2 linked regions of the Arabidopsis thaliana genome follow. The protein of the gene in region 2 interacts with the protein of the main gene of each other region in a biochemical or structural test. Each region holds a gene or a part of one and is shown on either strand. Other genes may lie near its edges.

Region 1 (5,748 bases), 6.5 Mb from region 2:
TTGCTTTTCTAGGATAGTAAGCATTCACATATGTAATGTTTACAAGTTACAATGAGTAAACCATAATGCAAACATTTTAGATGGACCGATTGATTTATGTGTTCTAAACTTCTAAACCTATTGAAATGTACACTCTATTACATGCTATGTGACTCATGATTGTAACAACATGACAACTTTCTCTGAATATTAGTGTAATGTGGCTACACTGACAAGTTATATTCGTTCAGATTAGTAACAGGGTTCTTTGACAAACACATCAAAACGACAAACACCAAACGACAACACGACAAAACAAGATGTCTTTTGTCTACTTGTACAACTTCGAGAATTTGAAAATCGTGTAACCATATCTTGGGCCTCAGCCCAATCCAAATCGTAATATTTTTACCTCTCTCTATTTTATCCATGCCAATCCAAAGAACAATGCTTCTTTGTCAGGAAGTAATTGTTGTTTATTCATGGGGAATCGTTGTCTCGTTTATTGCACAAATTACTATACTACTTGATTCACATTTACCATTTTTATAAGCTGACAAAGCTAATAAAAGCACCAAACAAATAGATTGCAAGTTTACAACAACGAAATGCTAACAAAACTGAAGCGGGCATGTTGAAAAGTCATAATAGTACACACATTTACGTTAATACATTTATAATAAGATGAATCACATAAACAATTTACTTTGATCAACTACTGCTTTTAACTTTAGAATGACCTTTTTGTGCCCTAATATTAGATAATTACCGGACATGGTGTATGCAAATATATATCAAAAGATCAAACTAAGGAACAAGATTCAAATCTCTCTCTTTTCTCTTCCTTACTTGCAATTTCGTTTGCTTTGGTTCTATACAGTGCGTTTCCGCTTCGATCTTTTGCTTCTTCGTTGGCCAACCTCAGGAAGCGGCTTGCTTGTTGTGCTCGAAGCTAACGCTCCTTCACGAGCCTCTTCTTCCTCATCATCAGACCCTTCTTCTGATTCAGACTGAGATTCTTCTACCAATTCAACTGTATCTTTCGCAACCGCCTTGTTCTTCTTGCTGCGCTTCTCTTGCTCTTTTAATTGTCTAAATCTGTTGTGATCCAATATACATTTATCAGAAATAACAAACTTGTAAGAAAAACGCTTCGTATTGAGAGATATAATCTCCACTAGACTCGGGATTCACTTACCTTTCGCCAGCATCGTCAGGCTGAGCAATAGATCTCTTTGCTCGTCCCGCACTTATTATTTTGCTTGCGTTTTCATCCATATTTGGCTTTGCACCACCTAGTTTACGCAGATATACTTGTTGGGCGGTACTAAGTACATTATTTGTGAGCCTAAAACCATAGGATGGTTTAACATAAGCAGTAGCATAATAAAAAGGGAAAAAATAAAACTCAGATCCTACCAATAAACACAGTCATATACAATAATATTGATGTTACAAAATGTAGTCACACTAGATGATTCCTTATCAAACAAGCTTCGTATTCCTCGAAATTCTAACCCGTCTTACGTACATTTTGAGAATGAAGCCATCTAGGTTAATTACTAGAGAAAATCTTTCTTATACTCCATTTAATGAGTAGATCAAGGGCATGGATAAAACAGTTAGATGAGAAGTTTCAAGGAGAGGGAAACCAACCAGTAAATAGATAGTCCTGATGGGACAGACAATGCAAAGTAACCGATCATGAGTGGAAGAAACTTGAAAACAAGAAGCGTATTCTTCTGTGCAGGATCATCAGTCTGACAAAAGAAATTAAATTCGGTTTCAGAACAATCATATCAAATTGTTTAAGTAACAGGAAAAATAAAAGAAACTTGTGTTTATTTCTCACTTGAGGAGGCTTCATAATTTCCATTGACACATACTGGGAGGCAATAAGTAGAACAGGTAGAACAAGATAAGCTACAGTGTCATACCATCCCAATGGTGGATGCCCGTCCTGCACCACCGAACGATATTAGACACCAATTTGATAAAGGTTCATTGCACAGCAAAAGACTCAGTTGTATGAAATTTTTTAGTATAAAGATAAGTATCAAATGAGAAAACGTATTCACATAAAGTTTTTTTCTTCCATTACCACAAACGGAAAAAGCCACGAAATGCCGGATCCACTCTGCCGAGCAGCTATAGATGTTGGTCCACCCAGAGATGGAATCCAAAAGAAACCTTCTGTAAACAATCCCTACAAAAAAAAAGTTTTTAGAACAATTAGTAGTTGAAAGAGACAAACTTATCCGGTCTCTAGCGAAATCAGTAGTTGAAAGAGACATAAGGTATATGTACCTCGTTGGCCACGTTAGAGAGAGCTTGGTATAAACCAATCCAAACTGGTATGGTTGCTAAAGTTGGTAAGCAACCTAACATAAAAAAAACAATAATGTGCATATGTCACCACAATTCAGGAAGGGAATACAAAACTCGTAACTTCTAAAAGAAAGTACCTGCCAACGGATTAACACCAGCTTGTTTATACAATCGCGATGTCTCTAGTTGTATCCTCTCCTATATATCCAAAAACAGAACAAACAAATCAGACTCGTCATCCACAAGTAACTCATTCTCTATCCAAAGAAACTCACCTGATTTCCTGCGTAACGTTGTTGAATCGCTTTGATTTTCGGTTGAAGATTTTGCATCGCTAGTGTTGATTCAACCTAAAGGATTCCAAAACAAAAGCAATGCTCAAAAATTCTCAACCAACATGCCAAAATTGAATCAAAGTGACAAGAGGAGCTGCAAAATTCAACTAATCACACTCACTAACCTGTTGCTTAGTCAAAGGATACGTCGCTGCTTTGACGATAATCGTAAGCAAGATAATCGCAAATCCATAAGCATAAGGTACATGAACCGCTGATAATCCATCCTTCAAAATCTAAAAATCCAAACCAAAAAACTTAAGCTACAAATACAATTTCCAGAATTCTACACACAGAGATCGAAATTAGCAGCTTAAAACTCACCTTAAGAACCAATTCCATAGCATCGGAGATAAAACCAAACCAACCACCACTCTTCTGCACGGCGGATGAATCAGTAGTTACGACGGAATCAGCACCAACAACGGCGGCGTCAGCTATTGTATAGAGAAGAGATTCAGCTCTGGTGAAAATCGCTCCGATGTCTACAGATGAATCCAAGCCATGGAAAGGAGGAATCTCGTTTAAGCTGAATCGTACGGTGGTTGAAGTAGTGAAGAGTTTGTTATTATTACTCCGGTATGGAAGAAATTGAGCGGTTCCTCCTCCTCCTACTCCACTGTGACGGAGAGATGACGACGGTTTAATCAACGGTGAACCGAAGAATGAAGATGGAGACGAGACTAGAACTCTCGCCATTGGAGCTTGAGAGGAGGATGAGAAGAGACGAAGAAGAAGATAGAGATTTTTATTTTTTTATTTTGTAAATTTTTTTCTGGATTTATCTTTTTTTGAAAATAAATTGGAAAATGAAAATGAGAGACGAAGCTGGTGATCGCGCGTGGTGGAGATTACATCCAGTCATAGGAGTCCACGTGGACATGTATCTAACGTGGGATATATCGGTGCTTTTTGTAGTTTGGGCTTATTAGGGCCCATTTTAGAAACAGGCCTGCTTAACTTAATAGGCTTAATTACCAATCCATCAATCTCCAAGCTCAATGCATGGATCACTTCCCCAACACAAAATAAAACTGAAAGCATACAAAATAGAAACCGATTTAGAAAATACTTTATGTAAATACTTTTCTATAAAAATCAAATCTCGAATGCTTTGTGAATGTATGGTAAGCTTTTCCACAAAATATATATAATTGTGAAGAAAAAGCTGCGTACTCTCTTTCAATTAGTTGACATCGAATCTGATTCTCACACCACCACCTTTCTTACTTTTATTTCTTGTCATTATCACTTTCTTTCCACGTTTTATATTATGTAGTTTTTATAAACAAAAAAACAAATGAACTAATCTGAAACATTTATCGAGAACCTATACACAACCCTAAAAAGGTAAGCTTGAGTCATAGGACTTAACTTCCCAAAGCCATAATCCGGTTCCCAAATCTTCATAACTTACGAAATAGTAAGTGATTACAAGGCCTTTAAAGATTAATCCCACAAAGAAAATGTATTTAACACTAGAGCTTGATCGATGTCTATAATGAGTTCAGCCTAAATAATGGTCGTAAATAATGCTCTCTAACGTAAGATAGTTATAAATTACGCTTTGAGTCCCAAGTCTAGTGGAAAAAACAAATGGGATAGAATTTTCATGCTTTTAGGGAATTAAATGTGACCGCAAATGGGACTAAGTAAAATCTTTTGGATAATGATCTCTAGTGTTGTATAGATTTTAGGATCCTAATCTCTCAGTTAATAAGCAAAAAGAACAAGGTTTAAATGTTCATAGAGGGATTCGTTCCTTAATCTCTAGCTCAGATCGATAGCTTCAAAACCTATAATCAATAATCTCTCAATAATTTTTTACCAAAAAAAACAAACCTATAATCACCGGCTCGCTCTAAGTGCACACCCATACGTTTATGTGATGTAATATTCAACAAAACATAGCTAACGTTATGAGTTTTTTTAAGCATCATACTGAATTAAATATCTTCCACATTGTTTTCAAGAATCATCCACCGTTCCTCAATTATATTTCACACGTCACGATCATATATAGACCTATACCAAATACTATATATAGAAATTAAATTTAAAGTTGTTTTGAAAATAATTATATTTGTTATTATTATTTTTCGTTGTGAAATAATTATTTATTTCATAATTTGTTTTTTAACATAAATTTTTGATAGAAATGATGATGTTGTAAGTTTGACAAAAAAAATAAAAAAAATGATGATGTTGTATTTTTTTCTTAATTTTATATGACAACGAACGATTAAGAGTTCGTATTTATTGTTTTATAACATAACGACGTCGACACAGAACTTTCAAGGCTAAACTCACTTTTTGATGGAGACGTAAGAATAATTTATGGGTAATAACTCATTAATTTGTTACTAAATAGAAATTATTTCTCTAAAATGCTTTTCAATTCATATACAAAGGATACATAGGAAAATTATAAAAAGTAATATTTGTATGTACGGACCATCAGAATAATAACGTAATATTTTTTAATCAGGTTGCATATTACCTCGGGCTTCCATTGATTAATGGGTGCATAAGTAATTAAGTAAATTCATATGCAAAGTTAAGAGTGGTACAAATTATAACCGCATATGCGTTCTTTAAAAAAGTAATTATGAAAATTTGTTCGGCAGATGAAGCAAATGATTAGTACACCTATGCCAAATCTTAAAAAATTAGAATGGAAAGCGATATATGAAATTGAACGTAGTCATATTGAATTCGTAATCGAGACTTTCACTATTGTTTTTAAGAATGTTTGGACGAGAAAGAAGCTCATAAAGCAATAAATTAGTTAACGTTCATAATTGAAGCATTGACACCAGGAGAGAAAAAAAGAGCAATTCATTGCTTCCCTAGTAAAAAAAAAAAAAAAAAAAAAAAAAAAAAAAAAAAAAATCAGATATTTGTGGATAAAGAGTTAAAAGAAATTGTTTCGTCATTTTTTTCTGTCATAATTTCGTCAACTTTTTGTTTAACAATATGCATTATATAAATTTTATTAATAATAGTAACACATAGACACGATTGTAGCATAAACCACTAAAATACATGGTTTCAGTGTATCTAAGCTTTTGACATGTAGAAGTTCTACGTTTTTCATGATAAATTC
Region 2 (5,114 bases):
ATATTTTTCTAAGAGGTTTTTTATAAATTTTATTTTTGTTCTTTTCTTTCTTACAGTTTTTGATCGTTAGCCGATTCCACTAATTTAACTTGTTTTCGCATCGTTTTGTAGATCTAATATACAAATTATTAACATTTTCGAAAAATTTTAAAATTTTTGTTTTTTTTTCTTTTTTATGGTTTTTAACTTTTAATTTGGATATTAGATTTACAAAATAAAATAAAAATTAACCGGATTTTGGATCTTGTCATTTGAAGTCGTATGCCGATACCACTAATTCAACTTGTTTTCACAATGTTTTGTAGAATTAATATACAAGTTTCATATTAATATATTTTCAAAAGTTTTAAATTTTTGTTTTTTATTCTTTCATTTTTACAGTTTTTATTTTTAAATTTGAATATTAATTTTTACAAAATGATATGAAAACTAATCGAATTATGGATCATGTCATTTGACCTTTGCATCGTTTTGTGGATTATATACAAGTTATGAATATTTTTTAAAAAAGTTTCATTTTTTTTTCTTTCTTTTTTACGGTTTTCCTCCCCTCATTGTTCTTTTATCAATCTTTGTAATTCCTTTCAAATACAACATTAACAATATACAAAATAGTAGTGAGACGAGACACAAGCAGTTCCTATGACTCGTTACATTCTTGTGTGATCACTATCAGTGTGCAAACGAGCTTTGTCACATCATTAAAAATCGAAACTTGCATCCATTGCAGAAAAAGCTTGTCAACCTAAGATCTCCAAGAAAATAAGGAATGCTTCCATTTGCATCTCCGGCGAATTCACTGTGAATTTTCCACTTGGCTCTGGCCTGCGTTGAAGATGATAGCTTTTTGAAGAAGACGAGGTTTTATGGCTTAAGAGAATATAGCATTCACAAAAGCCTCCGGATCAAAAGGTTGGAGATCTTCTACAGCTTCTCCTACACCGATAAACTTTACGGGAATGCCCAATTCCTCAACCACACTGACCTGCAAGACATGGAGAACCAGTTTCAATGACAGAGCTAATGAAAAATAAGAGCTTTGAATGAGATCAAAAATTTTATGAGATATTTACCACACAGCCTCCTCTAGCAGAGCCATCTAGTTTCGTCAATATCAAACCGGTGATACCAACAACCTGAAAAAAATGTAACCCAGAAACCTCAAGATTTTACGAAGAAATTCTAGTTTGGGGAGCCAGAATCACTAGGTTTAGGTAGTTTCGTATGGTACCTCGTTGAATTCTCTAGCTTGTGGAAGCATGTTCAAACCAGTGTTTCCATCAAGGACAAGTAGGATCTCCTAACAATTCCGTAAAATATTATTTTTAGCTAACGCATGATCGAAATTGGAGACTAACAGAGTGTAATAATATAAGCAAGATAACAGAATAGGATAAGTAAAAAGGCTCACTCACATTAGGTGCACCAGAGACAATCTTGCCCACTGCTTTTTTGCACGCAATCAACTCCTCCATCAAACTGTAATTAGTATGGAGACCTTACATAAAGAGGTGTAATGTTCCTCAGATTCAGTAAAGACGGTACATAAGCATGTTTTTTAAGTCAGCAAGCAAACTCTTGTATGCTTACGTCCAGATGTGTCGCACAGTACAACATCATAACCTTCCTCCTTCCCCCTTTTCACAGCCTTTGAGAGAACTATTCAGAAACAGAACAAACATGTTAAAGTTGTTTGTGCACCAAACACCGATACTGGCAAGCCAAAATAACAATGCATTGGTTTACCCGTGGCTGCTTTAGCCTTGTCTCCTTCAGCCACAACAATCTCACACCCAGTCCTCTCTGCCCATATCTCTAATTGGTCACTTGCTGCTGCTCTAAATGTATCACCTGCTGCCATTAATACCTATGACAAATCATCGCAGGATTGCTGATGAACATACTGATACTCAATTCTATTTCTACCTACCCTGGCAAAATTTCTCATCACCTATTTGAGCAACCACTTTCTAGTCTCAACTCTCAAGAGAAGAACAAAAAGGATCTAGTTTACATGATATCAAACATGAAAGGTGTACCTTAGTTCCTTCATTTTTCAATCTATGAGCCAGCTTTCCTGAAAAACAAAAGCCAGAATCTTTCACATAAATCTTTCTGTGGCTAAGCCAAAGCAAACCAGCTAGTCATTTGAATTCCCACTCTAAAGCATTAATGCCAATTTCCTTACCAAGAGATGTCGTCTTCCCACCTCCGTTCACTCCAACAATCATTATAACAGCTGGTTTCCTGATACACCATAACATATAACCAGACTTAGAACCACAATCTTTCATAACTCCACTTCAACAGAGCAGAGGCGTGAAAGAATAACAAGTAACACAGCTAAATGAAGAGAACCTAAAACCCAATTGAAGCTCTGTCTTGCTGTTTTTCTTAGCCAGCATCTCCAACACACTTTCCTTCAATGCATCCTACACCATTCAGAAGTACAATCAACTAGCTATAAACCCTAATCCCTAACATAACCACAATTTCGTTCAAATCAACCTTAATCTCGCTTCCTGATTTGAGTTTTCCTGACATGATATCCTCTCTTAGCCTCTCCACAATTCTAACAGTAATCTTCGGTCCAAAATCAGAAACCAAAAGCGCCTACATTGAATTATTCCCACTATTAGGTTTCAGGGAAACTCCATTTGCATCTGAAACCCAGAGAATCAACAATAATTCGAATTAAGATGGCTTTAAAATTAAAAAACCTCTTCCAATTCATCAAGAACTCGGTCTGTTTCAGCAAGATTCCAGAAGAGTAAGAGCTCGTCGATGACTGCTAGATTTTCCCTAGTCTTAGAGAATCCGGAGAAAACTTTCTCCACGTCGCTTTTGGCCTTCTCCTTAATCAACCGACCCAGCCGCGTGAAGAATCCGCTCGGTCCGGCCGAGCACCGGAACCGGGTCATTCGTGGACGAAATTCTCCTCTGAGAGGAAATAATCCGATCCGTTCGGAGGAGAACGGCGATATACGTCCGGCGAGAAACGAGAGGTGAGCAGAAGAAGTTGCCATGGCAGTTGTGCTAGAGAATCTGTGTAAGTTACTGACTTACTGGATAATAATCTTTTTTATACGCTGCGTTTTACGTTTCTATTGTTTCCCAATAATGAACCAATCTGCAAAAAAATGAATAATGAAAAACGCAGCGTTAATGCTTAATTTTTTGAAAACTATTAATTATAATTATAAATAAAAAAAATCCTCAAATACAAATTTGTTTTGTATATAATAGATTACGTCTTTTTATATTCTATCTATCTAGATTACAAGTTTTATCAAGGATATGTTAGTAAATTAGTGAGAGAAAATAGTTAATCATCTACAGTTATCATTTTGAAAACTATAATTAGTTTTATTTGTTTATATACTAATTTCTCTTTCAAAGGTATGTTTATATCTTACTTTGAACGATTTTCAAAGATATTGGAAATTTGAAATCATAAGATTTATCCTCAAACGAGCACAACAAGTAACTAGCAATCATTCAGCTACAATCACATCAACTATTTCATTCATTGATGGCGCCATTAAGCTTTGGTACAAAGTATGTATGTTTTAAAACCTACTACTATATTTGATTTCTTTTTCTTTTGCCTCTATTTCCCGTAGATTTCTCAAATGTCCATAGAACGACTTTAAGACTTGATCCAAAGGATGTAAACAAAGTCCAACAACTTCTTCACACGTGATTCAATTTTAACTCAAAAGTGCATTTGTGGCGAATACTAGTTTGACAATTTATATTTTGTTGGCAAACAATTTATAGGACTTCGCCTATTTTGATTATTATATACACCAAATTTGTTTGCTGAGGACGACCAAAAGTGAAGACTCCAAATTTGTTTCCTTAGGTATAACGTTTAACTTATCTTTTTCTCTTATGTTTCGCATTTGTCGTATATTTGGTACACCAACAGCCGAACACATTCATACAAGCGTCATAAACGTGACATAAGCAAAACGATGTCATGAACGATTAGATGGTATGTGGAAAAATGTTACTAAGACAATTTGCTGGTCTGTTTTCTTTAACGAGTACTTGAAATTACATATGCATGTACTACACAGTTATAGTACATACATGTGTTCCACACAAAAAATATAAATAAATCACAATCTTTTTTCCACAGAATTGATAATGTGGGTTGAGTTTTCCCATCAACGGATCGGATCTCTAAATTCAGTGGTTTAGACCTGACTTTATATATACATATCGTGTAAATTACTTTAGATTTTGGTTTGAGAGTCTCTAATTATAAAAGAAAAAACAAGTGGCCGATTATAAATTTCAAATCTGTTGAATTATCTAATTAACAATTTGCTTATTTTAATAAATATTTTTATTATTTTTGTTTTTGGTAGCCATTTTTAAATTCTATCTTCTTATATTAATAAGCACCGAGAAATACTTGGTGATTATTCTAATTTTTTATATTTTTATATGTATTCGGTCAAAATTTATAGATTTTTAACTCTATTACTCTATATTTAATGACTAGTACATGTTCTCCGTTTTTTGAATATCTGAATTGGCATTCTAAAAAAAAACACTTACAATATTCGTAAACCATACCTTGTAAGTTAGAATTAGCAATTCCATTCCCGCTATCCACCAAAAACGGTATAAGAAAGAACTAGTAGATATTGACCTAGATTGACTGTATACTTTTATCAAGTCAACACGACAACATTGTAGAAAAAGTACTACATAGTTGATATGAGTGCCTAATCCATGTGCCATGAAATAACTGGGCAACAAACAACAAATTTCCAGAAACAGTCTGTAATGATTTATTCATCAGTACTGCAAGCTAAGCCCATCGGTCATCTTGGGTCATATGATAATATACATATAATAATATCTCGCAAAAATACATTATAGAGTGAGCGACCACATCGTTGCAGTTTTAAACTATTGTTAAATATATGAACATTTCCACAGCTATTTAGCTTAGCTCACGACACGATGCTGCTGACATATGTAATTTACAATGTATAGCCATGCATGCATGTGTTTGTTGGCCAAGATTTTTCAGTTTTTACCTTTCCCAGCTATTACCTACATCCACTTTGAATTGGGATAAATCACGTAACTACGAC

What was found. The genes of interacting proteins can lie anywhere in the genome.
Region 1: the proteins of CPFTSY (region 2) and ALB3 form a complex in vitro, tested with the Arabidopsis thaliana proteins (one study listed by BioGRID).

The regions. Positions count from the first base shown.
Region 1 is NC_003071.7:12,355,818-12,361,565, forward strand, and holds ALB3 (63 kDa inner membrane family protein), read right to left. Parts: upstream 3,752-5,748; 5' UTR 3,342-3,751; coding exon 2,967-3,341; intron 2,879-2,966; coding exon 2,768-2,878; intron 2,658-2,767; coding exon 2,583-2,657; intron 2,506-2,582; coding exon 2,445-2,505; intron 2,361-2,444; coding exon 2,287-2,360; intron 2,186-2,286; coding exon 2,081-2,185; intron 1,940-2,080; coding exon 1,832-1,939; intron 1,740-1,831; coding exon 1,636-1,739; coding exon of another isoform or gene 1,602-1,635; exon of another isoform or gene 1,328-1,601; coding exon 1,178-1,327; intron 1,078-1,177; coding exon 852-1,077; 3' UTR 504-851; downstream 1-503. UniProt on the Arabidopsis thaliana protein: Required for the insertion of some light harvesting chlorophyll-binding proteins (LHCP) into the chloroplast thylakoid membrane.
Region 2 is NC_003071.7:18,849,160-18,854,273, reverse strand, and holds CPFTSY (signal recognition particle receptor protein, chloroplast (FTSY)), read right to left. Parts: upstream 3,187-5,114; 5' UTR 3,027-3,186; coding exon 2,721-3,026; intron 2,614-2,720; coding exon 2,509-2,613; intron 2,433-2,508; coding exon 2,359-2,432; intron 2,248-2,358; coding exon 2,189-2,247; intron 2,078-2,188; coding exon 2,040-2,077; intron 1,868-2,039; coding exon 1,747-1,867; intron 1,660-1,746; coding exon 1,591-1,659; intron 1,499-1,590; coding exon 1,416-1,498; intron 1,301-1,415; coding exon 1,232-1,300; intron 1,137-1,231; coding exon 1,074-1,136; intron 986-1,073; coding exon 872-985; 3' UTR 533-871; downstream 1-532. UniProt on the Arabidopsis thaliana protein: Signal recognition particle receptor protein. Binds GTP specifically. The GTPase activity is inhibited by the N-terminus of the protein until binding to the thylakoid membrane. Activates the GTPase activity of FFC/cpSRP54 when bound to the cpSRP complex.